Caenorhabditis elegans: one gene and its partner. The protein of the gene in region 1 purifies or fractionates together with the protein of each later gene. This does not show direct contact. Each region holds a gene or a part of one and is shown on either strand. Other genes may lie near its edges. The genes, in order: hrpk-2 and Y43F4B.10.

Evidence for each region.
Region 2: the proteins of hrpk-2 (region 1) and Y43F4B.10 fractionate together in Caenorhabditis elegans (co-fractionation; one large-scale study listed by BioGRID). This does not show direct contact.

What each region holds. Positions count from the first base shown.
Region 1 is NC_003281.10:7,977,692-7,996,230, reverse strand, and holds hrpk-2 (KH domain-containing protein hrpk-2), read right to left. Parts: upstream 9,111-18,539; 5' UTR 9,103-9,110; coding exon 9,057-9,102; intron 9,012-9,056; coding exon 8,934-9,011; intron 8,889-8,933; coding exon 8,802-8,888; intron 8,756-8,801; coding exon 7,679-8,755; intron 7,628-7,678; coding exon 7,466-7,627; intron 7,370-7,465; coding exon 7,262-7,369; intron 7,216-7,261; coding exon 7,105-7,215; intron 7,059-7,104; coding exon 6,799-7,058; intron 6,641-6,798; coding exon 6,284-6,640; intron 6,237-6,283; coding exon 5,948-6,236; intron 5,867-5,947; coding exon 5,781-5,866; 3' UTR 5,618-5,780; downstream 1-5,617. Other genes in the region: npr-17 (putative G-protein coupled receptor C06G4.5), read left to right, coding at 1,710-1,809, 1,936-2,087, 2,622-2,802, 2,846-2,932, 3,403-3,488, 3,783-3,875, 4,195-4,411, 4,468-4,604 and 1 more; Calpain clp-1, read right to left, coding at 10,199-10,208, 10,312-10,430, 10,477-10,566, 11,056-11,113, 11,162-11,267, 11,312-11,781, 12,156-12,287, 12,348-12,610 and 6 more; C06G4.4 (uncharacterized protein), read left to right, coding at 18,538-18,539.
Region 2 is NC_003281.10:13,311,492-13,326,866, reverse strand, and holds Y43F4B.10 (uncharacterized protein), read right to left. Parts: upstream 12,800-15,375; 5' UTR 12,796-12,799; coding exon 12,742-12,795; intron 12,682-12,741; coding exon 12,539-12,681; intron 12,430-12,538; coding exon 12,300-12,429; 3' UTR 12,146-12,299; downstream 1-12,145. Other genes in the region: F53A2.1 (DUF19 domain-containing protein), read left to right, coding at 2,028-2,438, 2,514-2,596, 3,183-3,298, 3,370-3,514, 3,640-3,709, 4,050-4,436; F53A2.11 (F-box domain-containing protein), read left to right, coding at 4,975-4,986, 5,033-5,131, 5,566-5,732, 5,776-5,897, 5,946-6,111, 6,807-7,602; dph-7 (methylated diphthine methylhydrolase), read right to left, coding at 8,357-8,575, 8,981-9,155, 9,323-9,483, 11,314-11,408, 11,454-11,733; slc-36.1 (Amino acid transporter transmembrane domain-containing protein), read right to left, coding at 13,717-13,848, 13,915-14,021, 14,548-14,611, 14,664-14,769.

The DNA of each region.
Region 1 (18,539 bases):
CAAAAATTACTTACGAAACTATAAAAAAATAACTGGAAATTATTTTTTCAGTTGACAATTTTTTTTCAAATCTAAAGTCAACGAGAGCAATGGGGTACAGCACTACTAGAGAAAATATGGTTTACATTTGAAAACTAGGTGACTGTAAACTCTGTGCATTTGTTTTGCAACCGTGATAACTCAATTTGAAATTATAGCTCAGAAATTTTGGACTTGATTCTCGACCTTCGATAAATTTATATGTTCAAAAATCCTAAAATTTTGTATGGCCCGGCACTTGTTCAAGAAAAAAGTAATTTGTTGAAGCTGCCAAAACTAAGACTGGAAAAAATGTTGGTTATTTTTTAATAAATAAAACTTGATTACTTTTTCTGTTGCTAAATTGGATATTATTTTTGTTTGTTTGCTATTTTCACCTGATACGCATCGGTTTTGGTTTTTATAATCACAACTTTATTGAAAATTAAAAACTAAAAAAAATGTAATAAAAAAAGCGATATTTCATGACTTTGAGAATTTTGGGAGTATCCGAACATATCCAATTAACATTCAATTTGTGTCGATGATCAAGTTATTTGAAATATTTGAAAATTAAAAAATGTGTTAGAAACCTCTCATAATTCTTGTAGCATAAGATGCTTCTCTTCAATATTTATGTTTTGAATAATTATGTATACTCAAAATTTAAACTACAATCGCTCTAAAATATTGCAACAAATGTCATCAGAATCTTATGCCTTGAAATGTCATCTACTAGAATATAGTATTCTGAGCAACGATTTGCTGTTGATTCGGCACGGAATATAGGCTTTAGCATGTACATGGTTTTTATTGGAACGGATACATGGTTTTTATTGGAACGGATTGAGATATTTAAAGGTGGAGTATCATCAGTAGAGAAGTTGTTAACCCACAGTGATACAAATATTTGAGTAAAACTTTTAAATTTTTTAAAAAATTAATAATTAGTAATTGTTATGTTTTCGCCTGTCATAATTTTGAAACTGGATTTTTGAAAACTTTTCCCACATAAAAGTTCAAAAATAACTTTTCATGGGTTTATATCAACCTTTGAATGATGTCATAAGAAACTTAAAATTAAGTCCTCTAGACTAAAATTCATATTAGTTTCCTTCCGCTTTCTTCAACTTTTTTGGTTGTGGAACAAAAGCACTTTTCATCTAAAAACACATGATTCCATGCCAAATCCTTCAATTCTCATTTTTCCATTTTATTTCCCGCCGCCTAAAATCAAATTATTCTCCCCATTTCTATCTCCTGTTTCTCATTGTCTCATTTCTTCCACCAAATCGGGAATCCCATCAATTATGCCAATCGCCATGTGCATTTTTTCTATTCGTGTACTGATGCTCATTGTGTTGAAGACTAGAGAAAAGAGATTCAGAAGGACATTTTATTGGAATAAATACGAAATCAAGCTATAGAAAAGTCATTTAAAAATGTGATACTTTTAGAGACAAAAACGTTGGAAATAAGATTTTTGAACCGGCACAAAGAATGCCAGAAACATTTAAACATTTGAGATAGGGATTTGATCTAGATTCAAAACCCAGTTGGAAATAAACTCTCCATTTTGTGACGATTTTACCGGACGTCCTGAATCCGAAAACATCGGACCCAGGACGTTCGGTTGAGCCCAAACCAGATTCAGACAAATTTTTCATCAGCAATTTGTAAAAATTTTTCAGAAAAAGTACAATATAGTGAATGATGTTCTACCTCCTCCCAATCACGAAGATCTACATGTTGTAATAATGGCAGTTTCATACCTTCTTTTATTTTTATTAGGTGGGTATTTACGTGACAATGTTTTTGGACTTTGGCATTTTTATTTATCAAATAAATTGTTTTAAAAAATTTGATTTGTATATTAAAATCATTTGTGTGTCTAGATTGACAAATAACAATTTTTAGGTACTTGTGGAAATGTGGCAGTGTTAACTACAATATACCATGTTATTCGATCGTCTCGAGCCACGTTGGATAACACATTAATATATGTCATTGTGCTTTCTTGTGTCGACTTCGGAGTTTGTTTGTCACTTCCAATTACGGTTATTGATCAGGTAAATCGATTGGTTTTTGGAAAGTTAAATAGTGTTCTAGAAATTATAAGTAGCTTGTACAAGCGCTTGTGAATATATATGGAGAAAATTATTTTTTATGGTACAACTTATGAGTGCTGAAAGTTTTGAAATGTGAAGGATTGTCAGTGGAAATTTATTCTAAATACACTTCGACACTTCGTTCTCTAAAATTTTTATATTTTCTGAAAATATAAACTTTTTTGGTAATTCGGAGCATTTGTGCAGGTTCAAATCCGTAGAATGTTTAAACGATGAATTGAACCACAACTACAATATTAAACTTGTAGAAAACTTTTTTTGGTCCTGGTGACAATTGAGTTCAGTGAAATTACACCACCTTTTGCAGGTAAATTTTTATAAAAAGTCCAAATTTTTCTGAGAAGTTTTACATAGCCTCCACCTTTAAAGAAACATGAAATTCGTAGGTAGTGTGAATGCAACAAGAAAGCTGTCAGAAAACGTTTGTTGACTTCAAAAAATAATTATTATTTTACATAATCTTTCATTTTCCAGATTCTCGGTTTCTGGATGTTTGGCAAAATACCATGTAAACTTCATGCAGTATTCGAGAATTTCGGTAAAATCCTGAGTGCTCTCATTCTGACGGCAATGAGTTTTGATCGGTACGCCGGAGTTTGCCATCCACAGCGAAAACGGTTGAGATCAAGGAATTTTGCAATTACTATACTTTTAGGTGAGTGTTTTCATAAATGATTTGTTCCTAAATTAAAGTTTAGTTCTTGCCGTATATGCATTCATCACACTCTGCCCGTTATTATGGTCTTTTACTGCACGGGAAATTATACTTTATGCGAAGGAAACAGGTACATTATTTACGCTTTTCTAGAAATATTCATAAGTTCTTGAGAATTTTTTTTGACAAAAATATATTTCTAACAAAGTTTAACTGCAAAAAATGGTTTTCTACTATCTAAAAAATCTTTGGTATCAGAAATCAAATGTCAATTTTAATTTCAATAAATTGGAATAACAATTTTTGAATGTTATTCGTTTACTTGAACTATTAAACAAAGAAAACACTAAAATGTTGTCAAACTTTCTCATTCCTATTGATCTATTTATCTCTTTTTGCCGTTAACCAATATTTTTCTATTCTATTTTCAAATTTTACATTCAATTTTCTTCCCCTCCCTCTCTTTAGTGTATTACTTGGTTTTCAATTAGTTCTCACTAATACTTTCGGGATTAATTGAATGCTCTCTAGGCAGAATGATGAAGAAAAATATGGGAAGATTGGTGGGGGAGTTTACCACTTTAAATTGAAATTTTCCAGCACCCGGAATGCTGACAAGAATGAAAATTGAGAAATGCACAGTGGATATCGACTCACAAATGTTCACAGCTTTCACGATTTATCAGGTACTTATAAAAAATATTTAAAAATTCACAAAAATGATTGAATTTTATTTTTTTAATGTATGTATATAAAGAATTGAAGTTTCAAAATGAGATAAAAATATTATTTCACACGGTTCTACCTTGGAATGATTGAAACAAATTGGTATATAAAATTACTCAAAGTAATTGAACTTACTTACTTGGTAAGTAAGAAAGTTGAAAACATTTCGTTGAACAGATTTGAAATTTGAAACCAATTTCTACAGTTGGGCTTACTGTAATACAAGAAAACTTACCATTTTTTTTAAATTTCAGTTCATTCTCTGTTATTGTACTCCATTGGTTCTCATCGCCTTTTTCTATACGAAACTTCTCAGCAAACTCCGTGAACACACAAGGACGTTTAAGGTATGAAATTTTGAACGCTCTGATTACAAAATAGAACAAATATATCTAAGACAAAGAACTATGACTATACACTTCAAGGGTCACATATCACGTCCGCTTGCCTCTCCTTCTGTTTTGCCTGGAATCCGCCTTATAAAATTCAAAAATTAAGAAACATAGAAAAAGTACAAAAAATATATTTAAAAGATTACCTGGGTATAGTATGACGGTAGCAGCACACAAAGAAGATTACCGTCTCGACCGAGAACTGAGGCACCATCAGTATTATATGTTGCTCTTGCGTTTGAATCAAAACCCCAATAAATTCCAAAATTTTCAGAGCTCTCAAATCCCATTTTTGCACATTTCGTTGTACACTCTAGCAGTTGCATGTTTCTATTTTTTATGCTGGACCCCATTCTGGATGGCTACATTATTCGCAGTTTATCTCGAAAACTCAGCAAATTCGAGTAGTGTTCCACCAGTTTTTGTATATATTATGTATTTTATTCATGCTCTACCGTTCACCAACTCTGCCATTAATTGGATTTTATACGGTAGGGTTTTTCTAGAAACTGTTTCATAAAAAGTAAAATTCATAAAACAATCTCAGGTGCACTAAATGGCCAACTTCAACAAAGATATCGATCAAATCGTTCAAATTCTACAAAAAAGACGACAACAACAACAGCTTCAACAGCTTTATTGGAAAAGAAAATCACAAATTTGAATACTAACTCTAATTATCAGGTACATCTGAAATTTTTGTGGTAAAATTTTTCTAGTCAGAAGTTTTCAAATGATATTTTCGCCATATTTTACGCACAACAGCAAATACAGTGTCAATTTACGAGACCTTTTTAGGCATGGCGAAAATTCACATCTTCAGCCGTCTTCGTAAGATATTTGGCGAGCAGACAGTATTACTCTGACATATAATTTTGCAATTTTTGTGCTAAATCTACGGTAACTGGTCTTGACACGGCAAATTAGTGGAAAATACAGAAAAGTTTGCGCGTTTAAAGAGTACGGTAATTTCTAACTTTCATTGATGCGGAAGTTTTGTAGATTTTATATAGTTTTTGGATAAAATTGTATTGATTTATTAAAAAAACTAACATAAAACACAAATAAATTGATGAATAAAACGATGGCATTTTCGCAGCAAGGATAGTTTGAAAATACAGTACACTTTAAAGGCGCACACTTGTTTGTGTTCTACAATAAAATGTCGTGTCGAGACCGGTTACCGTATTTTTGGTGTCAAATCGTAAAAATTTCGCTTCTGGGTAAAACACTTATACGGAACAAATTAAAAGCCACATTTTCCCAGGTAAATGGCTCAATGAACTCAATAGCCACTGCAGCTCCAACAAAAACGATTGGAAATAATGAAGTACTTGTTGCCACGTCAACAATTGATGATGATGTTGCAACTGATGTTGTAGATGTTCGACTTTTGAGTAATCATAATCCAACTTTTCTTTGAAATTTTAAATAATAATTTAAATTAACGGGTATTTATCACACATTTAATTTAAAAAGAAATATTTATTTCATTTTTCTATGTAATTTCAATTTCGTGATTGCTTCCCCATTTGTCAGGTTTTGCTATTTTACAATAATTTTTTTTGAAATAAAGTATAAAGTGTTTGTGTGAAGTGTAAGTATTTTTTGCGAAAAAAGTTCTTTCAGATGGTACGTCTGAATGAGGTACCATGGTCATTCAGACGGTACCAGACAATATACTTCAACCGTCCAAAAACAATGACATGTCGTTTATTGAGATTCGGGAGTAGAGAACCAGTAAAGTATGTAAGAAAACCGTAAAAAAAGATTGGGGAAATACAGGAGAAAAAACAAAAATGGATAAAAAATGCAGTACAAAATCAAGAGAAATACTTTGAAACTATTTAAAAAATTCACTTATTTGCATTCTTTTCTTTCTGCGTATCTTTTTTTGAGCATAACGAGTCTCGGATCTTCCATCGGTTTCACTTTTGACAAGTTGTCTGAAAAAAGAAAAATTAACTAGTAATGTTTCCGAAAATTGAAAAAGAAAAAAATAATAACATTAAATGATGTCAACTCACTGAAATCATCCGAGTTGAATTGAATAACCTTCGGGTCAATAATTCCTATTTTAACCTTGGTTAAATATGCAGCATAGGCAGCTTCTTCAACTCCACCACTACAAACCATGAACTTATCATCGAGATTTCCTCTAATAGCATTCAAGTAGCACTTTGCTTTCGATTCACTTCGAATTCTGTTGATTTCTACGCCATGCCTTCCAATAAGCCGGGCAACCATGTTTTCTGGAACACGAACTTGGAAGATACCCGGATCATCATCCGCTGGCTGATTCTCGTGCGTGATCTCCTGAAAATAGATACTAAAACTGAAAGTCTAAAATTAAAATTAAAAACCTCAATTTTCTCGATAGCCTGCTTGATGTTATCAGTTCTTCCACGAATTGAAAAGCACGCCTCATTATTATCAAATGAGCGTTTGAAAACGATGGCAGTACGAGTCACTTTCTCGATAGTTTTCAAGTTCTCTCCACAACGTCCAATGATTTTTCGGTAGAAACTTATTGGCGTACAATGTTCTACAGTCTCCTTGAACTTCTCTTCATCGAGGAAACGCTTTGTTTTCGATTGCATCGTTTCTCTAGCCATGTGAATGGAATTAACACTTCCAGTAAGTTTCAGTGGTGCGGTTGACACATATCCGCCGATACCAAACACTTCTCTCATTTTCTCGATGATGATTCCACAGTATTTCTGAAAAAAATTTTCCCCTAGAACTAATATTGAAATTGTACATTTTGACGCCCTAAATATTTTCGAACGAGGGAAAAGTGCCTTCAAGAAATATTGGTTTCCAAAGCTTTGCATCGAAAATTGCCAAATTTAAATAATATGTACTCAAAAAATCTCACCTCAATGCTTCTGCAATTCAAATCGAATCCTCTTGTATTACGCAATTCGTGGGGAGCATTATAAAAGTATACAATACTTTCTCGACCATCATGAATGTAGTGTTCATCAATAACCATATCATCAATCATTTTTTGAGCATTCTTGATGTGCTCGGGATCTCCTTTCAGTTCGACGTATGTATATCCACCGCGTTTAACTTCCTCCAGGAAAATAAGATGACATCCTGTTGCATAGTGGATCTCAAGCAGTCGTGCCTTTACTGAAAAAAAGAAACTGTAACGTTGGATTCAGTGAGATAAACCAACCGAGAGCTCCAGAGCGAATGGAAAGAGCATGCATGGCCGTACGATCCGCTTCAAACACCAGCTCTTTCTGCTTTTTCTGATGTCTCTCGGACTCTCTAGGTGGACCACCAACTGAAAATATATATTGAAAACAAAATCAGCTTATGTCAAATCTTACAGAGCTGTGTTACACCATCAACTATTTCCTTCGAATATGACCATTCTTTAAACAACTCTTCACGTCGAGCCATATCGTCGTCGGTCAACCGTGCGCGTTTTCTTGCATCTGAAAATAAAGTAGATATTTTTCTCAAATTAATGTTTTAACTAGAAGCTTTTTCTTATAAATGCTAGCTTCCTAGTTTTCAAAACTCCAACTCACTTCGTGCAATATCATCGCACTTGTAACTGTGCTCTTTTTTGACACCGACATCCATTCCATGTTCATATTCTCTCTCCATTTCAAGACTATTGTGGTACTCATCAGACTCTTGTTGGTAAAAACGATCTTCATCAAGAATATAATTATCTTCGTCCACACAAGCTGAAATATACATATATTCTTGGTTTAATAATTATCTCCGACACAACTAACCAGATTCCTTTCTGTGACTGCTACGCTGTCTCTTTTTCCTCTCGTGACGCTTCTCAGAAGGATTGCTTATCTCATAATCATCTTCTTCGCGACATTCAGAAGAATTTCCAGATTCGTTACGGTCATAGTGTTTTTTATGTTTCTTGTTATTCTTGGAACGATGACGATGACGGTGGTGCTTTCCAGAATCTTTATCATTGTAGAAATGATTATCTTGATCAGTCTGAGTGATGTCGTAATCTTCAAAATCTTCACTATTACGCATGATTCCCATATTCACGTGCTCCATTACTTGATAACGTCCACGATTCAGTCCATCTGCATCATGATGCCTTGCCTCAAACGGAAAAGAAACTCTAGATTCCAAATTGGACGGATAATTATTATGATTGTAGCAAATGGAATTTTGGTAGAAGTTGTCGTTGTTGATTTCCTGATTGTTGATTTGACGTGCGAAGACTGGAAGTCTTCCGGAAAACCTTGGATCCTCCAATCGTTCAGAACTTGCCATGATCATTCCAGATCGCAAATAAGAATTACTACTGAGTGAGTCATCTACTCTACGATCAATTGATGCAGATTTTGCAGGAAAGTTTGGCGCCAAAAAATGTTCTTCGAAATCATCATTATCTCGCACGATTTCCATATTCAATCGTCCCATTTTTCGGAAACTTCCTCGATTCAGTCCACCTGCATTGTACTCATTTACATTTGATCGATAAAATGGTCTAGGCTCCAAGAAGGTAGGATGATGTTCGTTGAATGGAACATTTACCAAAAGTTGTTGATTGTTGAAAAGGGGTGTTTGTCTATTTATGGGTGGAACGAATTTATGGTTGAAACGAATGGGATTCTGGTTGTTCCTTCCGTTGCTGATTTCTCGACTTCTCTCTAGACGTTCAAAGACTGGAACTCTTCGCGCTTCATGATAACTTGGTTTCTCCAAACGTTCAATATTACTTATAGAAATTCGGGGTTCCGAACATGAATTACTGCCCCACGTGTCATATTTGCTACGATTGTTGTGTTCTCTCTGGACATTAATCAACGATGTTGATATTCCAGGGAAGTATGACTCTGAAATAGTGAATTGTATGTGAAGCTTGAAGAGTGTGCAACTCACCTGGAATTCGCTGTCTATAAGAAACACGCACTATCGGGTCTTTGTGAACTTTTTTATTGTAAATAGGTTTACAAATGTCTTGACACTCTGAAAATATCATAAATTTACTTGTTTTTGAATATACGAATTCACCATCATCGGAATCATCCAACTGAATAACTTCTACTGGCGGTTTTGGAGGCATAATTATTTCCTCTATATCAGAATCGGCTGAAAAACTATAATTATTGTTTAAAAAGCAAATAAAGAACCTACAATCCACGCTGGATACAAATATCGATTTGTCTTTTGTTTTGGCCATGATTCGCTCTGAAAATAGAATTATTTAAGTTTATTTTCTAAGTACAAACATATGAATTGAATTCTAGAACACGCGGATTTTGATACTTCAAAAAAGCGTTTGTATTTTCAAAAATTGTTTCAAAAGGGTTTCTCGAGAGAGAGAAAAGGAGGGAATCTGTGAGGGTCATTCTGCGTACCTCGCATCAAAGCAATGAAGTGCGCGTTTACAAATGTTTAAGTGAGAAAAATAAATGAACAAAATAAACTTTTAGGAAAAATTTTCGATGAAATTGAACCCAAAAATTAAAAAAAGTTAGTGAGTCCAAAGTATACGGTACCGACCGGTCTCGACACGAAGGATACGATTACTGCAGAATAGAATGTGCGCCTTTAAAGATTACGGTAATGTCGAAGCTTTGGAAATCGATTAAAGAAATGAATTTTTTCTCATTTTAATAAAAACAAATTTTATGCAAAATTGGGCTGGAAAAAAGACTTTTGTTCGAAGCTGCTAAAAAAAAGTATTATTACTTCACCGTAAAACGTGATTTTTTACAGTTTCTCCCACTACTCGAGGTAAATATATTTTTATCTTTCCTAATTGATTTTTAAAAAAAGAGAAATTTTTAAAGCTAGATCAGAAATGGTTTAGTGTATGTGGTATTATTCGTAGCGACAGAGTCAATACTAATGAAATCTGTGAATATTTTTTAAGTGTTGAAGAATATAAGATAATTTTGTTCATTTAAAAATACTTCGTATGCTTAATCTTTTGACAGGCTTGATTTTTGAAAAGACGGAAATTTTGGATATCTTTCATCAGAACTAGAAAATTTATTTACTCTGGAAAAGGCAAAAAAAAAGAATACAGTGAAACAACAAGCATATCAAAATATTACAATTCTACAGAGCAGATCCGGCAAACATCGACGGGAAATTAGGCAGAAAGAGTGGAGAAAAGAGGGACGATTGAGGAAAGAGAGAGAGGGTAGGGGGGTTAATGATGAAAATAGAACGAGTGACAGAGAGATTTATACATAACGAAGTGGATCAAAACAATAGGTATAGGAAGATCCAATCTTGCTATTTGTTGTTGTAGTTGTGAGTAGAATGGCTTACAGTTCCCTGGAAAATATTGAATCAATGAATTATTAGTACCTGCAGAAGCTCAGCTTATATATTCTGTTAAATCAAAACAAAGTACAAAATCTTGATATTCACTACTCACTCCGACTCGATAAATCCATTCGTGTAGACACGGAGCATGAACTCGGCTTCCTCGTTTGGTTCAAATGTTGATGGAACGACAACATAGTTGCCCGGGGGTACACGGAAGCGGCCAGTCATCTGAAAATTTGGTTTTTAAAATTTAATTTTGAAGATAGAAAATTACCTCTCTTAAATTGATGAAAGCGGCCGATCTCATCGCGGATTTGTTGGCAGCGAAGAACTGTTTACTCAGTCGACCACGGTTATTTCCGGCCTGAATAGTATGTAATTTTATAAAGCTTGAAAAAATCTTTGGTTCGGACGAACACAGAGACAGAAAATACAATTTTCTTTCAAATGACTGCATTTTTCTGTTATTTGATACGTTTCACACATCCAATAGTAAACAACAAAACATAAATATTGGTTAGATAATGTCAAAAAATCAGCACGTGTACTTCAACAATAAAACAATACACACTAAACAAAGTGGGTGAGGTTCACTGAATGTGGGTTATTTTGAACTAGAAACGACGTGATTTGGACAATTTTACCGGTTTCACAAGATTTTCAATTAGCCAACTTACATTGTTCATCTGTAAATTTTTAGCGTATTTAAAAGGTTTAAAAATTTTTTAGTAGTTTTAGGGGAAAGTTAAGTTTTCAAATGTTCCAACTATTCTATTTAAAGTTGAGGTTTTCTAGAATTGTCGTAAATTTCAGGCCAAATCCTGTTTTTTCTTCAAAATAACAATAGTCTCACGTCATAGACAGCAAATCCAATTGGCACGTTGTCAAGTCCATCTTGTTTCAGATTACGTCTTAAAAATTGGAAAAATAAAAATGATTTCCCTATCTGGTGGCGCTACCTGTATTTTTGCAAAACGGCGAATATTACAGTGCAGAGTTCATCATCATCATCAGGATCCGAATCGGTAAGTTGAACTCGGAATTGTGGATTGTTGGCGAAAGTGTCTGAATTGAAAATTGAAAATATTTGTAGATGAATATTTACTTACTGATGTAATTCCTGCATCCTCCAGCTGTTTGATTTCTAACCCATGCACCATCATGAGTATTTGCAGCCCAAACCATTCCAGCGGCCTTGACACCAGTCATTTGATAGACTTCATCCATAACATCTGGTCCAAGATTGCAAATTTCCATTTTCTCGAAATTCCTCATAAAATCATCAAATGACATCCAAAACTCTCCATCATGATCGAATTTCAGTCCCATATCTTGTTTTACAGAATCTGGAACACTTCGCCATTCGCGTGAATTGTCTGACCATGGTCCATTCCATTCCTGTTCATTTCCCCATGGATTACGGATTCGAAGAATGCAAGTTTGTCCATTTGGTCCGTCAACAATTCGGCATCCGGTAATTGAATAGGCGTGTCCTTTCACTAAACCATTCGACATTTTTGCTTCCCAAACATTTGGATCGGCTTCGATGGAGCAACCGAATAGGGATCCCATCTCGAATCTGAAATTTTGTTAATACATGGACGCTAAAATTTGCGCAAAAAATACGGTAATCGGTCTCGACACGACAACTTTTTGTCGAATATAAATAGGGGATCACTTTTAAAGAGTACTTTACTTTCAAGATTTTATTTTTGTGGAATTTTTTATCGATTTTTCATAGTTTGTGTGTTCTTAATTGTTTTATTTCTGTTTCTAACAAAAAACTATGCAAAATCAATGAAAATTCGGCATCAACGAAAGTTTGAAACTACAGTACTCATTAAAGGCGCACAGACATTCATAATTAACAAAAATTGTCGCGTCGAGACCGGGTACTGTAGTTTGGCACAACTCGTTTTTGGATAATAATGTAAATTAGACTTTAATCCCTACCCTCTCATCATCATTTGCATCAAGTTTCTTGGTGGGTTTTTGAGGTCGATAAACTCGGTGAGTCCTCCAGTCATGTCCTCAAGTGCTTCAGATGTGGTACCTCCCTTGAGAGCCTCGTATGATCCGAACAATCTTGAAAATTAATTAACTAGTTTATTCCTTCATAAATGTCGGTCAAAAGTCCGAACTTACTTTGCATATGCCTTCTCTAAAAGTGCACTCCAGAACTCATTATTACTAGCAGAATGCATATAGAGAAGCTCGCCGTTACTCGTTGGTAATCTGTCGTCAATAACAACATCCACCCATTTTCCGTACTGCCAGAATTGGAAATGGAAGATTCCAGCGTAGTTTTCAGTGAAAGATTGATCTGGTGGAACCACACGATAGAAGAGCTCATCCTTGAGAGTTAAATTGGCTGCAGCAGCCAAGAGCCAACAATCTCCGAGTTCTCCCTGAAAGAATATATAATTTTAATAGTACATTTCAAATATTAAAAATTCTGAAAATAATCCAAGAGCTAACCTGAATAACATCAAATCTCGAGTGACCCTCTGTAATCAGTTGTGGCTCTCTTGTGATTTCTCCAGGACGAAGCCATTCTACACGTTTTGGTGGACGTTTCGAGAAGAATAACGAACTATCATTGGCCAAGAATTGTGGATCCTCGAATAGTCGTTTGCTCTGAATTTATTATTTTAAAAATGATATGTTTTGAACACTCACCTCAAGACATTGATCTCTGAGCTCATAGAAGTCTTGTGGTTCGGTAGTTGGTCTTGGTGAAATAGGGCTTGGACCACTTCCACCACCTCCTCTATCTGGATCTGGTCCTGGACGAACGAATGGATCAACATCCCTACGGAACTTTCCAGAAATAATATTGTCCAGAATAACTTTTCCGATATTTCCAAGAGAATTATCTTTTCCACCAAGTCCCATAATCACATTTCCAGCGACAGCTCCAATGATTCTGCCTGTACCCGGATCAACGCCGAGGAATCTGTGAGCAGCTTCTCCAATGAGATTTCCGATAACATTCACCATTCCACCGTTGAGATTATTCGGGTTCACATTTCCACCTCCACCATTGTACTGGCCACCGCCTCCTCCGCCAATGAGAGATCCGATTCCTCCGAGGATATCTCCGAAGCCTCCTCCACCACCGCCTAAAATTTTTCAAATTATTCAAAGTATATTAATAAATGTTCTATACCTTGTCTCTGGCCACCACCACCACCACCTCCCATACTGTTGATGAGTCCACCGATATCATTGAAGTTAAAGCCACCGCCTCCGCCGCCTCCTTGATTTCCACCACCACCGCCGTAGTTACCACCTCCGCCTAAAATATTACTCTAGCTTGAATTTCATGGGTGCCACATTTGTGTAGATAGTTCAGAAATGAAATACAATTAGATGTGATAAATAAGTGTCAATAAGATCTATAAATGTTCTGATCATCAGCTCTATTAACTATTAAAATATTAACACAACATTTATGATACTACATGCACACTACAATCCTAATGCATACCACCACCACCAATAAGTGATCCGACCAAGCTTCCGATGTTGTTTCCACCACCGCCACCGCCACTGCCGCCTCCGCCTAAATTTCACACGAAATATCACAGCAAACATGCAAAATATTGCATTTTTAAAGGAAAATCACGAATCATCAGTCAAAAGCGAATTAACAGGAGAATTTAAAAGTCTAAAGCTTCTTTCAAAATAGCCATATTTTTCAAATCAAATTTTGGAAATGAGTGGTGTTGTTAGTATTTAAGTGAGTGTTGGTGAGTGCGTAGAAGCTTAACTTATTGTATTTTCAAACTCTCAGACCGTAATTTTGCCCTCCGCCGCCTCTTTGTCCACCGCCGCCACCTCCGCCGCTCAAAAGTCCCCCAAGAATGTCTCCGAACCCTCCGCCACCGCCAGATCCACCTCCACCACCAAAATTGTTATTTGGTGGCGGCTGTTGTCGACCTCCACCTGATTTTTAACATAAGTTGATGAATTTGTGCTATGAGCGTGGAATTGCGCTATTTTCAAGAAAAAAGCTTGAAGATTGGTGAACAATTACGGAACAAAAGACAAAGAAGCTTCACATTCCCAGACGTCCAAGAATGAAAAACTAGAAAAAAAACCGAGGATAATAAATTACAGACCATGTTCAGAAAATTTGAGAAAATGATTAAGCTAATTATATAATCAAATCTATAGAAAGCACAAAACAGCAAATAAAAAAAACACAAACGCTACCATAGTTATCCTGCTCCTTCTTTCCTTTCCTATTCACCACATTATCGAATATTCCTCCAATCAAGTCTTTCGCCATGTCTCGTTTCCTTTTTTGTTGATCTCCGCTGTTCCCATTCCCGCCTTGATCGTAGTTCGAACCTATGGATTACTGTAGCAGCAAATGGGATTACGATAACATGGACAACATATAAGGTGTGAGAAAAAATTCACTGATCTAAGCCACACGGTGATGTTTTGAGTGAATCTAAATGTTTTCTAACACAAAAAAAGGAACTTGAATTTTTAGGGAATTTTTGTCTGACAATTTTGAAAATAAAAATACCTCCACCGAATCCTCCATTTCCACCACCGAAACCTCCGCCTCCGCCGCCGCCTCCTCCGCCGCCTCCACCTCCGAAGAAGTTACTGGCAAGGCCTCCAAGGATATCACCACCGGCGCCACCGACCTGTGAGATAATTAGTTTTAGGTTGCAATTAAATTTCAACATGTCTATGTAGCAAATTTAAAAAAAAAATATTCTAACCAAAAATTAAACTAACCTTATCTCTAATCAGGTTACCAGCAATTGATCCAATTAATCCATTGAATTCATCCGGCTTCACTTCGACTTTTTGAATAATTTCTTCCTCATCGTCAGCCATTTTGATTCCGTCGGCTTTTGCTGTGAAACCGTCGGTTGTTGTCTTTTTTTGATAGTTTTCCTCCTCGTTTGAGCCTGCCGCACGATTTTCGGGGTCTGCAAAACAGAATATCTATGAATTTGAAATAAAATTTGATTTTTGTTCAACGAAAAAGTCAGAAGAAGCAGAGCAATCAGGCTCACAACATAGAGAAAAAAAAAACAAATTTTTACCTCTTCTTGGGGATACAGCAATTGAGAATGGAAACATAAAATAATTTTTAGAGTTAGAGCTTTTTTTAAGGAATGTGTAATTCTTAAAATCGATAAGCCCTTTGCGTGCTCTTTGAGCCTTCGGAGTTGGGGAGACAAAGATTAGCGTCAACTTTTTTGTGCATGCATTTTTCTGTTTTTTTTCTCATATTTTCTGAGCACGAAACAACATAAATTTAGTTGACAGAATAAAGGAAATTTGAGTTAATGGAAATAGAAACTTTATCTATTAATTTATTTGATTGTCATCAATTAGCTATCGATGGCAAACAAAACGGATGAACCTAATTGGAAACGGATAAAAATATAAATTCAATGTGACAGGGGGAGAAAAAAAAACTAGATTTTATTTTTTTGTTTCTCTTTTGGTTTTTCGGTCTTGTTTTCAATTTAATCGTCACGGAAATTGGTATTGGAGTGAGGCACAACACACCAAAAAAACAATTGCCACATTCAATGGGTTTCGAAATATAGAATATGCTCAGAAAATCAGATAAAACTAAGCAAATCGTAATTTTTGAACATGATTTTCAATTATTCAAGGATTTTTCTTTCAATTTTGTTCCGAAATTTCCCTGTATGACCTTTTGATACGGATAAAATTGTCTTTTGAAACCGAGAAAACGAACAAAAAACATTTGGAAATCGATGTAAAAGCTGCGGGGGACCAGAGTTTGCGTGTTTTGCTTTTGAAACCAATTCTACATTCCCATGAGTCTAAGCGAAGGACATGTCAACTCAGTGTCAGGAGCAGGCCGAAAATGTGTTTTTTTTTTAATTTAGAGTTCAGAAAAAAAACCACACCTTCTGAAGATACTCTGGATCACACGTAGACAACAATACAATACATTTCTTGAATTTTTTTTCATACAAATTTGACTCACCAACAAGACAACAATTGAATACATTCATTGCACCGGGCAATTCTCCTCGAGAAACGAGCACAGAATGAGCTCAAAAAGGGAGCAACAAGCAGCTCGTTTTGAGAAATGGAGAGCTAGAGGGACCAACCGGAAATAAAGGAGCACCCTATGGCTCAGAGCAGGAAAAAGTTGCTCTTTTTTTTCTCGAAACGGAATGTGATGGCAGAAATAGAGGGGAAAAGATGTTCCGCGCCGTTGATAATTGGTTTTGGTGAGGCTCCGGGGCTCAGTTGCTCTTTTTGTTTTTGTTTTCCGTTAGGTTCTATTCGCAGGTGATCGATAGCATAGAGGAAAAGGTCCCTTTTTCTTTGAAAAGAGAATAAAATTTTGTGTATCGAAGCACTTTTTTTTGGATTTATAGGTGAGTGACCAGAGAACTCTTTAGAATAAAGAAGTGGTGAGCGATTTAAAAATGAGAAAATTTCACCAACGTTGGTTGCCAATCATTCAAAAAGCCAGGGTTTGAGCTGTCTGAGCCCCATTTGACGATTATCTAGATGTTGCGGATTTACGACTTACAATTACAGAAATCTAAATCCAAATGAGGACTGTTCTTTTTTGTTTAATTTTTTTTATTTGGCTCCTAAAATATTCATTTTATTTGTTAATTTTTGTCAAAGGAGAAAAGCAACTGAAATTTTTTTGTTCTTGGTCGAAAGAACTTTTGTATACGGGAATGTAGTTGCAATTTTTAGAAACGGAGGTGTTTCAGACAAAAAGAGCCCACAAAAAACTTTTACGAGCTTTATTTATTGTTTCCACTACAAATTCCTTCTTTCGATGAATTTCGGAGTAATTGGTTGGGCTGGAGCAATTCTTATTTAACGTTCTAACAAAATCTCGACATTTGTTCGAAAAAACACAATTTTTCAACAAAAAAAATTTTAATTTCCTTATTCATCAGCGGGAAACAACAGTCGACTAATAAACCTTTCAGTATTTACTATCATCTTATTTCCTATCGCAAAAAAATTTAAAAAATCAAAAAGAAAACAAAACTCGTTGGCATGGGTAGAAAGAAAGAGAGGAAGCAAACAACTGAGAATCGCCTTTTTTATTGGCGAGCAGATGAAATATCATGAAAAAATAAGAGAGTTCAGTGAAAAAGAATGAAGAGATGCAGATGGTTAGACAAGAAAATAAAGGCGCCGGCACTCGCCAAGGTTACTTGTTTACTCGTCGAATTCACCGTACAAAAATGTGTGTATGTGTTAGGTTGAAAAATTGTGGCAAAGTTTTCAAATGATTTTTCAAAGTTCAAAACTCTCCGGGAGCAGTATTAAATTTTTGTGGGAATTTTTCGAATGAGTGGGACTAATTTGAGTTCCTAACGACATTCTGATACAAAAAGCGTTTTCCATTGTAAGCAAGTATACAGTATATCTTATCAGTTTTTCCTTATTTCTAAAAGCGAAATTTACTTCACAGCCAATTGAAGCGGGGAAAAATGTGCCTCGATAGCTCAGTTGGGAGAGCGTACGACTGAAGATCGTAAGGTCACCAGTTCGATCCTGGTTCGGGGCATTTCTTTTTGGAATGTTTCAAACTTTTAATGGCGAACAAAATATTTTGGAAGGCGCATGACAAGCGAACTATTTACCAAATCTTAAATAAAATCAAAAATGCATGTATTCTGGGTCAAGTTTTTTGAGAGTGGTAGATTGCGGCAACAAACAAATAGACACTGACGACTAACGGGACACAACACACTTTACAACTTAAAATGAAAAGGCGGGAAAATAAAAGGGGAGGAAGAAGAATTAGAGAACACAAAAAGTGTTTAAAAGATCATTTGGCTTGATTGAAACATGAGAAAATTCTTTCAAAAAGTGCACGACTTTAGAAAAAATAATTAAATTGATAACATTATAATATTTTTAAAAATAATATGAAATAAATACTGAAATTCAATAAATTTCTAGCAAAGAAAACGCAAAAAACAAACAATCAAATCAATGTTTCGGCCGACGAGTCTCGCAACGAAAACATAGCAATGAACGAATGTTGTCTGTGCCTTTAAAAAGTACCGTAGTCAAATAAAATATCAAGCCTAGAATGAGTTCGAGATTGCAATTCACCAATGATTAGATGCAGAATATAAAAACAAACATTTAAAAATTAATCACGCGAAAAAGTATATTTCCTACGTAAAGTTTATAATATTCGGTTCAATTACTTCATCATAAAATATTCAGTTCTTCGTTTTTTATCACTCAATACAAGCTAATTGAAAAGGTGAATTTATTGGATTTATTTTTCTTTCCTAATTTTTTCTAACTTGCAGCTGAATCCACTTCGATAAT
Region 2 (15,375 bases), 5.3 Mb from region 1:
AGGCTTATGCTTAGGCATAGGCTTAGGCTTAAATTACCAAAGTTTCCAAAATGAGAATTTTTAGTAAGTTCGAGCATTGCAACGTCTAGAGCTTAAAAAATAAAGCAACCTATCAGGTTGTGCGCGCAAAACAATTTTCAAAAAAATATGCTCACTTTCATAATGTTATATTTGGATGTTTGCATGCGATATGCACCAGCAAATATTGCATTTTCAATGGGGGAAACTCTCCCGTTTTTCAATGACCAGCTTGTCGTATTAATTTTCGTAGTTTATTTGACCACCCAGAAAGGAAAAGTTGCACATTTATCCCGGTGATAGTTTGGGTGCTGTGCAGAAAAAATTCGATCATTTTTCGAAACGTTGAAAATTTTCTCGGTTCTTAAAAATCATTTTTTCTGAAGGCACATTAATCCTACAGTAATCCTACAGTAATCCTACAGTACCCCTACAATACCCTGACCGTATCACTCCACTAACCCCAACACAGTATCCCTATAAAGCACTCAGTACTCCTACAAGTGATATGGAGTTTGGTTTAGTTGAGTGATAGTGTGGGGGTGTACTGTAGCGGTACTGTAAGGGTACTGTAGGATTACTGTACCTTTAGGAAAATTATTTTACTTTTGGTATTGTTGTTAGTTTTTCCAAACAAAAAAATAAATAAATAAAGTTTTTTAAGACTGTTAATTTTCAGCTGAATTTAGGAAAAGCTTTTTTTGTTGTTTTTTCGGACCAAAAAAAACACAAAAAAAAAACTAAATGTACAGTAATCCTACAGCACCCTCACACGTCTACAGTACCCCAACAATAACCAACCACTAATTCCAACGCACTATCCATTAAAAATTTGTTTCCAAAACTACAGTAATCCTACAGTACCTGAACGAAAAACAACAATCCATATGAACAATCATCATCAAAAACTCGGAACATTTTCCTTCCGGAAAAAAAAGTTATTTTACACCTCTTCTCTCCCCTCCCTCGCTTCATCAAATGTACTCTCATCCGTTTTTCGAGCTCAATTTTTCCAATTTACTTTTTTTTTTTTCCGTCTCCTTTTCAAATTCATTTTTACCCGCTAACATTCCCCTTTTTGTGTGGGACAACTTGTTCTTCATTTCTCGCCCGTTTTTTTCTTCTTCTATCGTCATCTGACCCTGTTAAGTCTGAAAAACATATGAGAAAAGGATGAGGGAGAAAAAATGGATAAATATAATCGTATTAGGCGAAAAAGATGCATCTGCTCCTCCATCTCATCATGTATATTTTTAATGGAAATATTATTATTATTATTATTATAAGTGTATTAAGTTTATTTTAGAATATATTTTGAACAATATTTTTTACTGTTCACTGTGGACGAGTATTTTTCTTTTCTAGGCCATGCCCAACTGTGACGTCGTTTCTCGGTCACTAAACTTCCCTGGACCCCTCATATGTATTATTGCTATCACCTTAAAATTAGTAAAAACGGGTCCGGGGAGGTGTAACCTCACACGACATGTCACTCATTTGTCTATTTTAATTGGAAAATGGACACGGGCTCTATTTCATTTGGAAGGAGGGAGGGAGAACTTTGAAATTTTCGTACCTTTTTCAAAGTTTCCAGAATATTTGTATCCTGGAATTGATCGAAATTGGATTTGGAAAATTTTTTGGTACTTTCCTGTTTAGTTATGGGTTTCAATTTTCAATTATTCTTGATTTGATCATTGCCAAAAAAATTCCGAACGTTGAGCCTGAATGTTTACTATAAAGTAAGTAAGTAAGTAAGTAAGTAAGTAAGCCTGCGTCTAAGCCTAAGCCTAAGCCTCAGACTAAGCCTAAGCCTGTGCCTAAGCCAAAGCCAAAGCCTAAACCTAAGCCTATCTTATTAATATTCCTGTTCCTATTTTTATCACTATACATCCTGTTTAAAAGTAGTGCCCATCACGAAAAGATGCTTGACCATGGGAACCTCACGGAGCCCTACCTTTTGCAATTTCTCTGCGTCTCCTAATTTGTGTGATATCTCTATACATATCATGCTCCTCCCCTCTTGTTTACCCCGAATGAAGATTGACAAGAAAAAAATGGAAAAAAGAAAGAAGAAGCACATTCATCTTCATCATATTTATATCTCGACAACATTTTCCTCCATTATTTTGTCCTTGTATTTTTGCGGGCCACTGGTGTCCCCCATGGGTCCCTTGCCCGCAAGATGTGACACATTTTTTTGGGGGAATTTTTCTTTTTTGTGTCCTAAAAATCTCTTATCTGTACAGCGATCGCTTTATTTCAGATATCAAAAAAATGCTAAAATGATTTTTTGGAGCTACCTCGTAATACTTTTAATTCCTGGGGTCCTATCGACAACGTGCCCGCATTCTGTGAATTCGAAAATTCAGGAATGTGTTCAACCTGTTGCAGATTACGCAAAAGTTCTGAATAATCAGGTGAGAGCTTTATTTTGAAAAATGCCTACTTTCTGCCTTGTGCCAGGCCTACTAGGAAAAATCCCAACTTTTCAGGACTCTCGAACGTCTGGATCAGAATTCGGAAGTGCTTTTTCACTTCCAAATATGGGCGGTCGAGTTTTCAATGAACTTTGCAGGTAGGTAATTTTATTTCGGCAATATTTTAATAGATGCCTAGAAAAACTGGCATTCTGCTCGCTGAGCACAAAAATTCCAAAACCTCCAAGTTGCATCATAAAATCACGCATAAATCTTGACGACCCAGTGATTTCAAATTCTGTCCCTTTCTCCCAAGGGATCTTTTTTTAAAGTCTCTAATGTCACTTGATAGTTTAAACATTACAAACGATGCCTACCTAACACCTGCCTACCTTCCATCTAACTATTGCTTTTTATGAATTTGGCATTTTAAATCTATAGGTTTACGTATAGCATTTACGTACATTTTAATCAATTTTGCAATTTCAATTTATGAAATTAAAAATACATTTACTGGTAATTTGGCTGTGTAAGTTCCTGTCCTGGCGGGCAGGATATTAAAGTTTTAAAAAAATTAAAATTTTCAAATCCAATTTTTAAAAAATAATTCAATCTAAACATTGTAGGAGTTTTAACATACGAAATTGCTCTGAACTTTTTGAAAAAATCGGAAGTGCTAGAAAAATGTTAGTGTACCAAAAGTTTGACTGAAAATGGCCAAAAAACACACTCTTGAAAATTCAGATTAATTGCCAAATTCAACAGTTGTGTTCGAGATTATCGAAGTACGTGTCCCCGTCATGTAACTATTTCCCTTATTGACTCTTCTTATGGATACTTGTGTAATGAAGGGTATAATAGTAGGTTTTTTTTTCAAATTCTTAAGCTCCTGAAGCTTCACAGTATTTGCTATAGTTGAAATAATTTTCAGCATTTATGGAGTCTGCCGAATGTTTGATGGAGTTGGATCGAAAACCATCAGTTAAAAGATGCCATGATGAGACGCTTAAAGAAATTGAATCAGCAAACACTGAATCAGGTGTATCTATGCCAGCTAAAGTTGATCGGATGTGTGGGTTAGTAAATATATGAAATGAAGTTCTGAAAAAATAGTGATTGGGGTATTTGAAAATTGTTTAACTTACATTATAATTTTGTTGTTCATTTACTTCATCTTTATTTATATTTATTGATTTTTTAGAGCTCTCAACTTCTTCTCCGGTTGTGTAAGGTCACCGATAAAACAAGACTGCGGATTTTCTGCGTGGCAGGTTAGTGAGCAATGCAATCGCGCTCCAATGTCAAAAAAAAGCGCCTAACTTGGGTCTCCCCAAGCATTGACGGTGAACAACAAATTAATATTTTCCAGCTCTTTTCGGCTTATCGCTAGTTTTTCTGCTTTTTCAAGCGAAAAAAGAGCAAAACATTTTTTAGAGAATTAACAATAAAGTGCAATTTTTATCAAATTTTTGTTGATGATATTGAAAACTAAAAATCGAAAAATTGAAAAATCTAAAAAATTAAAGCATTGAAAACTCAATACCCTCGGCACCCACACACAAAATTCTCAATGAAATTAAAAATCAGATTCCAAAAAAACTAAACTTTCAGGTAATCTACCGAGTCCTAAAAGACACCACAAACACCCTAATGCCTGCCTGCCAATTCACTGGAACTTCGCAAAAACTGTTATCATTTCAAAAGGAAATTGATAGTTTAAATAATGTAACATCAACAACTACAACATTACAAACATCCACGTACACAACAAGTCGGCCACGTCCTACCGTAACCAAACTGCAAACAACTACGGTAGTTGTAGTTCGAGAGCTGGCGGATGGTGAGGATGAAGATGATGAGGAATTGAAGCAGAAGCTCAGTCAAAAAAAGAAAATGAGAAAAATTCAATCAGCTGAGCTAACTGATTCTTCGAAATCTCAATTTTCTATTGAATATGTGTTAACTTTAGTTCTAGGATTTTTGATTCTATGTATTTAAAATTTTATGTTCTGAATCTGCCTATTCCAATCCGACTACGTGTATTTTTTTCTTTAATTTATTTTTTAAGATGTTAAGATTTTTCCTTTTTTTCTCCGCATTATGGTCTAGAACTTGATTTTTTTAAACTTCTAGTCCGTATCCCATCCAGGTGTCATTTCCCCCTTTGTTCCTAATTTTGTAAAAAATTTTTAAATGAAGTATAAATTCTGAAAATGCAATTCATACCATATAATTTTTTGATAGTGCAAAACTTCAAATTTTCTGAAAAAAATTGGCGGGAAATTCAAATTTTCTAGGAAAACATTTTGGCTGGAAATTCAAATTTTTGAGGAACAAATATTGGCGTTCCCGTTACAATACACTGATTCAAATACTGAAAATGTATGGCGGAAAATTCAAACTCAAAAAGTCCATATTCTTTGTGAAGTCTCTCTCTCCCTCTCGCTCTCTCGCCCTCTCATTCTCTCATTCTCTCATTTTCCTTTACTCTCTTGCAACTATTGCAATTTGCTACAGAAATTAAGAGAGCACTAAAATGTCTGAAGATGTGAGTTGAAGTTTTTTTAGTCAATCGAATTTCAACATTTTTTCAGAATACATATATTGTCAATCAAGTGTTTATGAATGAAATTTTAATTGGAAAAATATTAGATCATGTGTCAATCCAGACAAAACCACTGGTTAAATTGAGAGTAAGTGATGCCAAAAATTGGGAGCAAAAGAGCAAAATAGTTGAAAAATCAAACGCCCAACTTGAACTTTAAATCCAGTTTTCAAAAAGCTATACATAAATTTGTGAATTTAATTTTATTTAGTGTATATTTTTTATATTTTGCCAGTGTATGTATATAAAACATGCAACTGTCCGACTTTTCACAGTTTATAGCCTTTAAGCCCGATATAAGGTGACTGATTATCTAATACTTCCAAAATTTATAATTATGTTTTCCCAGAGGGAAGTGCACACTTTTAAATATTTTGGTCCGTTTTCAGACGATTTCAAAATTTTTTAGTAATTTTAGAGACGAATTTACACAAGGGTTTGCCAAATTTTTGGTTGGTTTCAACGTTTTGTATCTCAGTATTTTTCATTACTGAAAAATTTCAAACGTTCTTCTTATTACAGCTTGTCAGTCGACATTTAAACTTGGCAGTTCTTTACAAAATCAGAAAAGAGCACAGTGAAATAATCATTCATAACCTTGGGCATTGTGACAAGCACTTACCATGCATATGTACAGTTTTCATAAACTCTCAAGACATCTGTAATTTAAAGTTACATGCATACTTTCAGTGAGTTTAATTACAAGTTATGTCGAAATACAGAAGGATTCAGATTTTTAAATAAACGCGTGAAAATAAATATCTGTAAACTACAAGTTCAAATTGAACATTTTGACAAAGTTGTACAATTTCAATTACACCGTTTAATTCTCAAAGAATTGATAGGATCTAACGGTGAGTTTCGCGGTTATCAAAAAACTATCAACATTTTTTTAAATACAGAAGACAGAATAAGGGAATTCACGGGAATGTTTGATTTAAGTTATTATGGTTGGGACTTAAAAGCCGAGAGGATTGCCAGGCATTGCATCCGGTTTGGAATGCAGGAAGGTGTAGATTTACATGGATCACAACTACTTAATTTTGACGTTTTCGAAGTCGCTGAGCCGTTAGTTTTTTGGTTCATATTCTTCACAGCGCTGATATTCCAAGTTATCTAAAACTAACTGAGTTACCGTATTTTCCCTATTAGAATTCACTTGCTCTAATTGACAGGTTTATATATACTTCGGCTGTTTTTAATTTAAATTTGTCAAACAGTGCTCAGCAATCAACATTTAGAGAAATATTTTGAAAGTATTTTATCAGTTAAAATTATTCGAAATAACTCATGATGTAGCCTTTTTCAACGAGTTATTTTTGAAATCAGCAACGCAGCAATAAAAAAAAAATCAAAATTGAAACAATTTTTAAAGGAAAAAAGATTTTAAAAAATTATTAAACAGAGGAAAAGATGAAAAAAATTAACAAAATCCCCGTTTTTGCGTTTGATATTTTAACTAATATTTGCTATGACGACTTTGGCAGCACCTTGTCAACTTAGGGCGTTGTTTCCCTCTGAAAATTTAATTTTAGCATCATAGAAGGAGCTTTAAACAGTTACCCCAGAATCCGCTGATCGCGTTTTTTTTCAATTTTCCCTGTGACCAAAATGAAAATTAAAAATTAAATAAACATGAAAACGAACGAATAATGTAATTTTTTTGTTAGCTGAACTTTTTAAAGAATATTGTTCCTAGTTTTGAAGTAGCTCATTTGAATAATTCGACAAATTATTTGACCAGCACTGTAAGTTTTTTTCAGGCACCTACACGGAATAGTGAATGCTGACAAATTTGAAGTGCGTCGAATATATACTGATGAAGAAGATGAAGAAATGGTGTATTTCCCGATAAATCGCTTTCTTAAAATGCCCATTACATGTGATACACTCACATTCATTCTATATGGCAAAGATATTGTCTCACTGCCGAGAACAATAACACATCAGGCTGTTTCGAACTGGAATGCAAAGAATGTTAACCTTAATTTTCGATTCGGAGCGCACAATGTTATGGCAGAAAAATTTCACGAGTGCCCAGAAAATTTCAAGAATCCAGTGAATATTCAGTTTGTTGCACCATGGAACATTGAACCAGTTTCTGCTAATTTATTGGAAAGTGTGGAAATTAAGTTACAATACACGGATGATATTCTACTTACCATTGAAGATCAGTTGGATTATGACTATTATTCACCATATGATAATATAATTGCAAATGTTCAAAGGGCCTTCCCAAGCAGGAATATGATTGTGAAACTTTCTGAGACGAATGTTCTAATTGCTCCTGAAAATATGCACAAAGTCTTTGCAAAGTTTATTAGGTTGACTGAGCAAAATCAACAGCGAAATGGAAGTGTCACATTTAAATTGTACTATGAAGAAGACGATAGAATTCCGATAAAAGTCCCACACATTTTCAATTCAAGCGCACGTCTCGTAGGAGAACAACCTGAACATTGTTGGTATCTCGATGAAATTCTCAATATTCCAAAAGAAACCATTAAAAGCCCTTTTGGATGTGTAACTGTCTGGTATGGAAAGATGTTCCGTTTGTGAAACTCTACCAATAATCGGAAAATTGACTTTCAACTTTTCTACCAACGACGTTATTTGAAGAAGTTTTTCAAGGAACACGATGGAATGATGAATACTGGATTTTTAATGCATTTCAAACATTTAATTGATTAGTTTACTGTTTTTAAATACTTGGCCTAGAAAAGCCCAATTCGGCCAACGATTTATCTAAAATTAATTTATAAATTCTTTACCCCAACTTTTTCTGAAACTTTCCGAAAATTGCTCAATTAATGTATAAACTTTTTTTAAAAATAAATGCAGATATTACCCACACGCAAAGCTTTGCGATTGTTGCACGGTCTCAGCACGCGCGTGTGCCTTCAAGGAGTACTGTAGCTTCGAAGTTTTGCTGCTGCACAGAGGTTTCATCGATTTTTCATAATTTTTTTTTGAAAATCTATTTGTTTGTTATAAAAAAAGGAAATACTCAACAAATCTATGAAAAATCGATAAAAATTCCACAGCAACGAAAGTTCGAAAATACAGTACTCTTTAAAGGCGCACACCTTTTCGCATTTAGCAAAAAATTCTCGTTTCGAGACCAGGACACCGTACTTTTCGCGCAAAAATCGCGAAAGTTGCTGTACAATTTTTTTGTTATTATTAACACCCTCATCTTGTAAAAATTCCAACTAAGGTATAAATTCTGTAAACGCAATTTTTATTATTATATTAAATTCAACAAGCAAAAAATCACTAATTTAACAAATTCACCGGCGTTCAACATTTTTCATCAATACTCGTCTAAAACAGCCAAATAATCATTAAAAGTACAAAAGAGCACCGAATTCGCGGACATTTTTGTTGCTCCATACAGAAGATTCGATCCAACATCCCGATTCTCGTGGACAATATCGAGAGTGTCCGAATTCAGAATACTGTAGCCACCGTACATGCAGGAAGTACAGTACTCTGAGCCAACTTGTTCAATGTTCCAAACTCCACCAGAGAGCTGTAATTGGAAAATAATTTAAATTTCTCGTTAAATTTAGGGGAAATTTTCAAAATAACCAATAAATTGTTAGGTCTATAAACGCGAAGGACGGTAAAATAAAGTCGATTCGCACCTGAAAGGCCTGGATTTTTTATTTTGAATACGTAGAATCTGGTGACACGTGGCGATATGAGATCCTGCACGTGGCACAGATAGTGTTCAATTTTTCGAAATTCTGAGGTTGCGTATTTCGCAACATATTTGACGCGCGAATATCTCGTAGCGCTGGTGTCGATTTACGAGAAAATCGAGCCCGTAAATCGACACAAGAGCTACAGTAGTTTTTTTACGAGATATTTTGCGCGTCAAATATGTTGTGCAACACGCACTCTCAGAATATTATGCTCCCATAATATATCATACCTTTTTCTCTTTGAGCACAGTTTTTAAATTCCTTCGATCGAAAATCCGGACGTGCTCGTCATAGCTTCCAGTTAGAATTTGATCTTCGTTCGAAGCCGGGAAATCAACAAAAACAACACCGGCTTCGAAAATTTTTGATTGACCGGTTTGAGTTCGGCTGCGAGCATCCCAGAGTCTGAAAATTTGAAGATTTAAAACCCCTCTGTTTGAATTTTGAATTCCCTCCAAAATGAGAACTGCAGGACCAATCAGCGATTTGCTCCGCCCACCCCTTCTGATTGGTTTGCAGTTCTCATTTTGGAGGGAATTCAAATAGAAAATTGGTTTTTCCTTCAAACCTACTTCATTGATCCGTCCTCTCCGCCAGTTACAACTGTCTGAGCATCTTTGCTGATCGCACAAGACCATACTTCACATCCTTCACCAGGAACGTACGGAAGCGAATGAGCAAGCCACGTGGAAACGATGAGTGATGTGTTCAGGTCGACGATGTACGCGTGGCCCTGAAATGAACTGATTTCAAAAAATAGAGAAAAAAACGTTTAAATGGGCAAGCGCGCTCCACAGCGAAATGAGAACGCTCCGCCTCTGGGTCTCGTTAGGTATTGGCGCCAAAAAAAAACAACAAAAATACATATTTTCTGACACAAAATTGATGTAAAATTCAGTTTTTAATGTGATTTTTCGAAATTAAGGTTTTGCCGCCATTACCTATTGGGACCCAATTCTTGGCAGTAGAGCGCACTTGCGCGTTGTTCTGCGTCTCTGGAGCTCCACGTGGTGTCAGAGTGTCTCATTTTGACTTGATATACGGAGATCTACAAAAAATGCGGGTTCTCAACTGATTTCGCGTAGTTAAGAACGTGCTGACGTCATTTTTTTTTTGGATAAAATTCCCGCATTTTTTGTAGATCAAACCGTCATGGGACAGCGTGGCACCACTTGGCTTGATAATAACGCCTACAGAGCAGTTCTGAGAACTTGCTGCGGCCTCACAAGTGACACCCCAGCACACCATATCTACGAGGAAGCGACCAGATTGCCCCTGAGAGAAGAAATTGAGCTTAGAAGACAACAATTCCAGATTTCGTCAATAAATACGCCAGGACATCCATCCAAAGACTTAAAGCTCAGAAGGCCGACGGAAAGAGCGTCAAATAGGCCAAGGGAGCCTCCGTTAGATTACCCTAGCAACACCACGAGCAACTGGCAAATTCCTCAAATGACCACCAAGGCCATCCAGAAAGCAAACCATAGGAAATTCGTGCAGGAATTTCTGAACAAGAAACCGGTGAACAACGTGCTGGGCACCCCTGCCCCAGCGGTGGCCGAGGAAGAGAAATCACTACCAAGGGTGAAGCAGAGTGGAGCTAGCAAGGCTGAGATGTGGACATTCCACGATGGTACCCGGCTACTTCGCGATACCGACCTGTGGGAAATGTGGCGATCAAAGAGGAAATGTGGCACACTTGTTGGGATGCTCAACCCAACCCCCGCTAACGCCATCAAAATTGTGGTCGGATCCGAAAACGGTGGCTGAGGCCCTGGGCCTCCCCACCAAAATATTCGACCCTCCGCACCTGCAGTGGTCTCACCAGTGATTCTCCGACTCAGCACATCTATGAGGAAACGGAGAGGCTTCCTCTTCGCGAGGAAATTGAGCTCCGCAAGCAGCAATTTGCAATTGCAGCACTGAACACCCCTGGCCACCCATCCAAAGACCTAAAGGCAAGAAGACCCCTTGAGAGGACGACCAACAGGCCCAGAGAGCCGCCGTTAGACTATCCGAGCAGCACCACCAATGCCTGGACAAATCCCCGCTCAACGACCAAGGCCATTCAGAAGTCCAACCACCGAACCTTCATCAAAAACTTCCTAAACAGCAAGAAGCCGAACAACGTACTTGGACGCCCTGCCCCCGCCATAAATGGTGAGGAAAGCTCCTTGCCGCGAGGAACAAGAGTGGAGCTAGCCAGAATCAGATGCGGTCACTCAACCATGGTCCCAAGCTATTTCGCGAGAATCAACAACGACACGGTGCCAGCCTGCAAGAAGTGTGGCGATGTCACAGGGAATGTGGAACACATGCTGAGATGTTCTATCCAACCCCCGCTCACTCCGAAAAAGGTGGCAGAGGCACTGGGCCTCCCCACCAGAACTTTCGATCCAGGCGGATCTCAATGATCCAAGGACCTCCACGGATCCATCGCGGTGCTTTGCACCACTACTACTACTACTACCCTGGAGGAACTCACTGAGGCATGGACGCCCATGGCGCCCTTCTGGTGGTGCTTTGCACCACTACTACTATAATACCGGCGAGATCACAGTACTTTGTTGTCAGTTGTAATAGTGAGGGAAGAATCCGAAAGTCCCAAATCCAAAAGCATATCCGACGATACAGGTGTAGTTTCGGATGATACAGGTTCTGAAAATCGTCCTGCTCATTTGAAATCTCAGGCACAATTCAAACCTTCAATTTTCTGAACCACTAGTGATCCATCGGTTAGCGCTGCAACTATCGTCGACGGATTTCGGAAATCGAATCGAAACACTCCAGCAGAAGTGCTAATCTCATTTTCCAACTGTAGCCCGTCGGCTTCATCAATCTTCAAAATGCACAGTGAGCCGGATCGAGTGTCTGAAGATGTATCGAGAAGATACGTGGATACGCAAGCACGTGATGTGTCCTCTGATGGTATCCGACGAGCAAATGCTGGGCGATTTGACAGCTTCACACTTTTTGATCGCATTTAAATGAGCTCAAAAAATTTGTAATTTTGAAAATTTACTAAAAATGCGGTTTTCAAACGTAAAATGTTTCAATTTTTCGTCAAAAATACGGTGTCCGGTCTCGACACGAAACAATTTGTTGTTAAATGCGAAAAGGTGTGCGCTTTTAAAGAGTACTGTAATTCCAAAATTTTTCGTGATGTGGAATTTTCATCGAATTTTCAGTTTTTTAGAAATAAAGTATTATTTTAACGAATAACGTTAAGAAATCGATAAAAATTTTACAAAAACCAAAGTTTGAAATTACAGTACTCTTTAAAGGCGCACACTAGTTTGTATTTAACCAAAAAATTGTCGTGTCGAGACCAAATACCGCCGTTTTGGCTCCAAAACCGCCAAATTTCGAGTCTATACATTGGTGAACTATTGAGATTGGAATAAGACACATATTCATGGAAAAAATATTGGGAATAATTTAAAACCCATGAGGATCGTGATGGAAATTATAGCAAAAAAATTAAAGTTTCCAGTTTGCAGGAATGGTAAAAATAAATACAATTTGAAATACATATATAAAAAAGCAAGATTAATTCTTCGAGGCGGCCTCCGATGATGTCTCTTCAGGCTTCGGAGTCTCTGATTTCTGCGCAACTCTTTGTGCTTCGATCGCAGCGTCTGCCTTTTTTTTGTCTGTTTCGGCCTCTTGTTGACACGCTCTGCAAATGATTTTTTTTCTCTCAATTGATTTCTCGATTATGACGATCAAATATTTGATCGACACTTATAATTCGAGTGGAAAATCGACGAAAAAACTCAAAAACCTACCTAATCAGAACTTTTGCCGCTTGAATATTCCTCTTCAACCGTTCACAGGTCAACTTATTGAATGTATATGTTGGACGAACGTCTTTCCCGATTTCTTCGATCAACTTGAGCAGAACTTCGTAATAAGGAGTGCCTTCTTGCATCTGAAATCATTATTTTTTCAATTAAAATTGTATATTTAGATTTTTTTTTAAATATTTTACCTGAAGATTCGGCACAATTGAGATAAGCGTTTGAAGATCTTCTTGTGTCGCCATTTTTCTAAAACAAAATAGGTTGAATGAATTACTGCGAGAAATCAATAAAAATACAGAGAACGGGAACACCACCGTTCTCTGCGTCTCTTTTCAAAACACGTTTCAATGGAGCACATTTGCTTTAGGATTTTGGCGGTTATTTTTACGATATTTTTTTTTGAGAAATCGAAAAACCAAACAATTTTGTTTTGTCGAAATTTTGAAAAAAAAAAGGATTTTTGGAAAAATATAATTTTCCTCTTTTTAGAGAAAAACTATCTGTTTCTTATGATTTGTTCTCATTAACATAAATAAAATTTGATAAAAAATAGTTTTTTTTGTTAATTTTCTAAACATTTTTCCAATTTTTCGGTTTTCCCGGTCTCGCCACGGCAAATATTGGTTAAATGCGGAAAAGGTGTGCGCCTTTAAAGAGTACTGTAATTTCAAACTTTTGTTGAAACGTACGGAATTTCATGATTTGCAGCAACACAAGTTTGAAACTACAGTACTCTTTAAAGGTGCACGCCCGTTTGTATTTAACAAAATATTGTCGTTGTGAGACCGGGTACCGTATTTTTAGTGTGAAAATTGCAAAATTTTGCGGCTGGGTAATATAAAATTGAATCGAGATATTTAAATAAATTGGTTAAAATTGATACCACATTTAAATAATATTTCAAAAAATTCGATAAAAAATATTCACAGAAGCTCGAATTTTATTAACAAAATAAATAGTACATGTTATTCGGGAATGAAACGAAAATGAAAAAAAAATGCCGCAAAAATATGAAAAAATCATCATCACAAATTGAACAACCGACAAGGAAGGACACGAAATATACAAAAAAAAATTCCAAAAAATTCCATAAAGGTGCAATAAAATTCTGGGAATTTCCAGCTAAAACGCTGAAAATATTTAAATATTATAGATATTTAAATCTATGCAAAAGTTTTTGCAATTTCGATAAGTGCACTATAGGTTCCCGTTGTGAATCCAATAAAGGCAAAAGTGAGAAGAACGATATTTTTGATCCATAATCCAGTGCTCAACTCGTTTTTCGCGTAGGATGTCTGAAAAAAATTCAATTTTTTTCATTTTTAATTAATTTAAAAAAATTGGAATTCAAAAATTCCTACCAAAAGTTCAATGCACGGAGGGAAGAGAAGAGCCATTGAAGCTCCAGAAAATGCTCCGATTAATGAGATGAAAAGAGCCAAATGAGGAATAAGCTCAGCTATTGCACCTGGAAATTTTTTTTCAAAAAATTAGAAAAAATCAGTTTTTTTCTAAATTTTTATATAATTTTTTTCTCGTCTAAATTAATTATTTGATATCAACCTGAAAAAAAACCTTTGATTTTTATGTGCAATTTTTATAGTATATTTCCAAAATGTCTCAGAAAAAGTCTGGATTTACCGAAATTCTCTCAATTTTTATTTCATTATCGATTTGAAACACAATTTTCTGCGAAAAAAGTTTAAATAAATGTATAATTATCGATTTTTAGACCAATTATTTTATTTTTTTGATCAAAAATGTCAGAAAAAGTCTCAATTTACCAAATATAACTGTTTAAAAATTTATTAAAATTTTCTAAATTTGTTATGATTTTTTTCTAAACTTATTATTTGATTATTATTTTTGAAACACAATTTTTCCGCAACAAAAAAACTTAAATTATCGATATTTAGGTCAATTTTAGATTTTTTTAAACGGAAAATGAAAAAAAAAATAATTTTTGCGAATAATATTTTTTTTTTGAAACTTACAAGTCAAAATAACTCCGGAATATCTGGCAATGTAGATGTACAATGTTTGTTTATCGACGGGAATCTGAAATTTTGAAGAATTTTGACCAATTTTCATGGAAATTTCTCCAAAAAACCTTTCTAGTAATCCATTTTTCGATTCTTTCCATTGGCACATAGAATTGAAGAGGATAGGAGATCATGATGCACGCCACAAACATTAATTTTATCGTTTGATAGAATCTGAAATTGAATTTTTTTAAAATTATTCTGATTTAAAAAAAAAAAAATTTTTTCATTATTTATTTTTTTTTTTGACATATTTTTTATTGATGGCCCCCAGTTCGTGAACATTAATTTTATCGTTTGATAGAATCTGAAATTGCTAAAAAAGTAATTTTGAAAAATTATTTTTTAGGCATTGTTAGAAGAATTTCTGCCTTTTTTACAAAAAAACTTTTGTTCCAAGCAATTATAGCAATATTGTGAATGAAAATTTCGCTGTAAATGATAGAAAACAGTCTCAAAAATTGAAAGAATGTTTTTTTTTAATTTTTTTTTGCATTTTTACGTTACCCAGCTAAATTTACTGGTTTTTTCTTGACTTTGAAATTAAAAAATTTGAATTTACGGAAATTTCCGCGAATTTCTCTACTTTTAAAGAGATTTTCTTAGTATTTTAAACAAAATCCACATATTTATACTACATCTTCTCTTTTTTAAAGTACAGTTTCCCCAACTTTTCGTTTTTCGAATTAAAAAAATTCATTTTTTGAGTTATATAATTTTTTGATTTTTCTCTGAATTGTGTCAAAAACGAGAAATCGGAAATTTTTCAGCTTTTTGAAG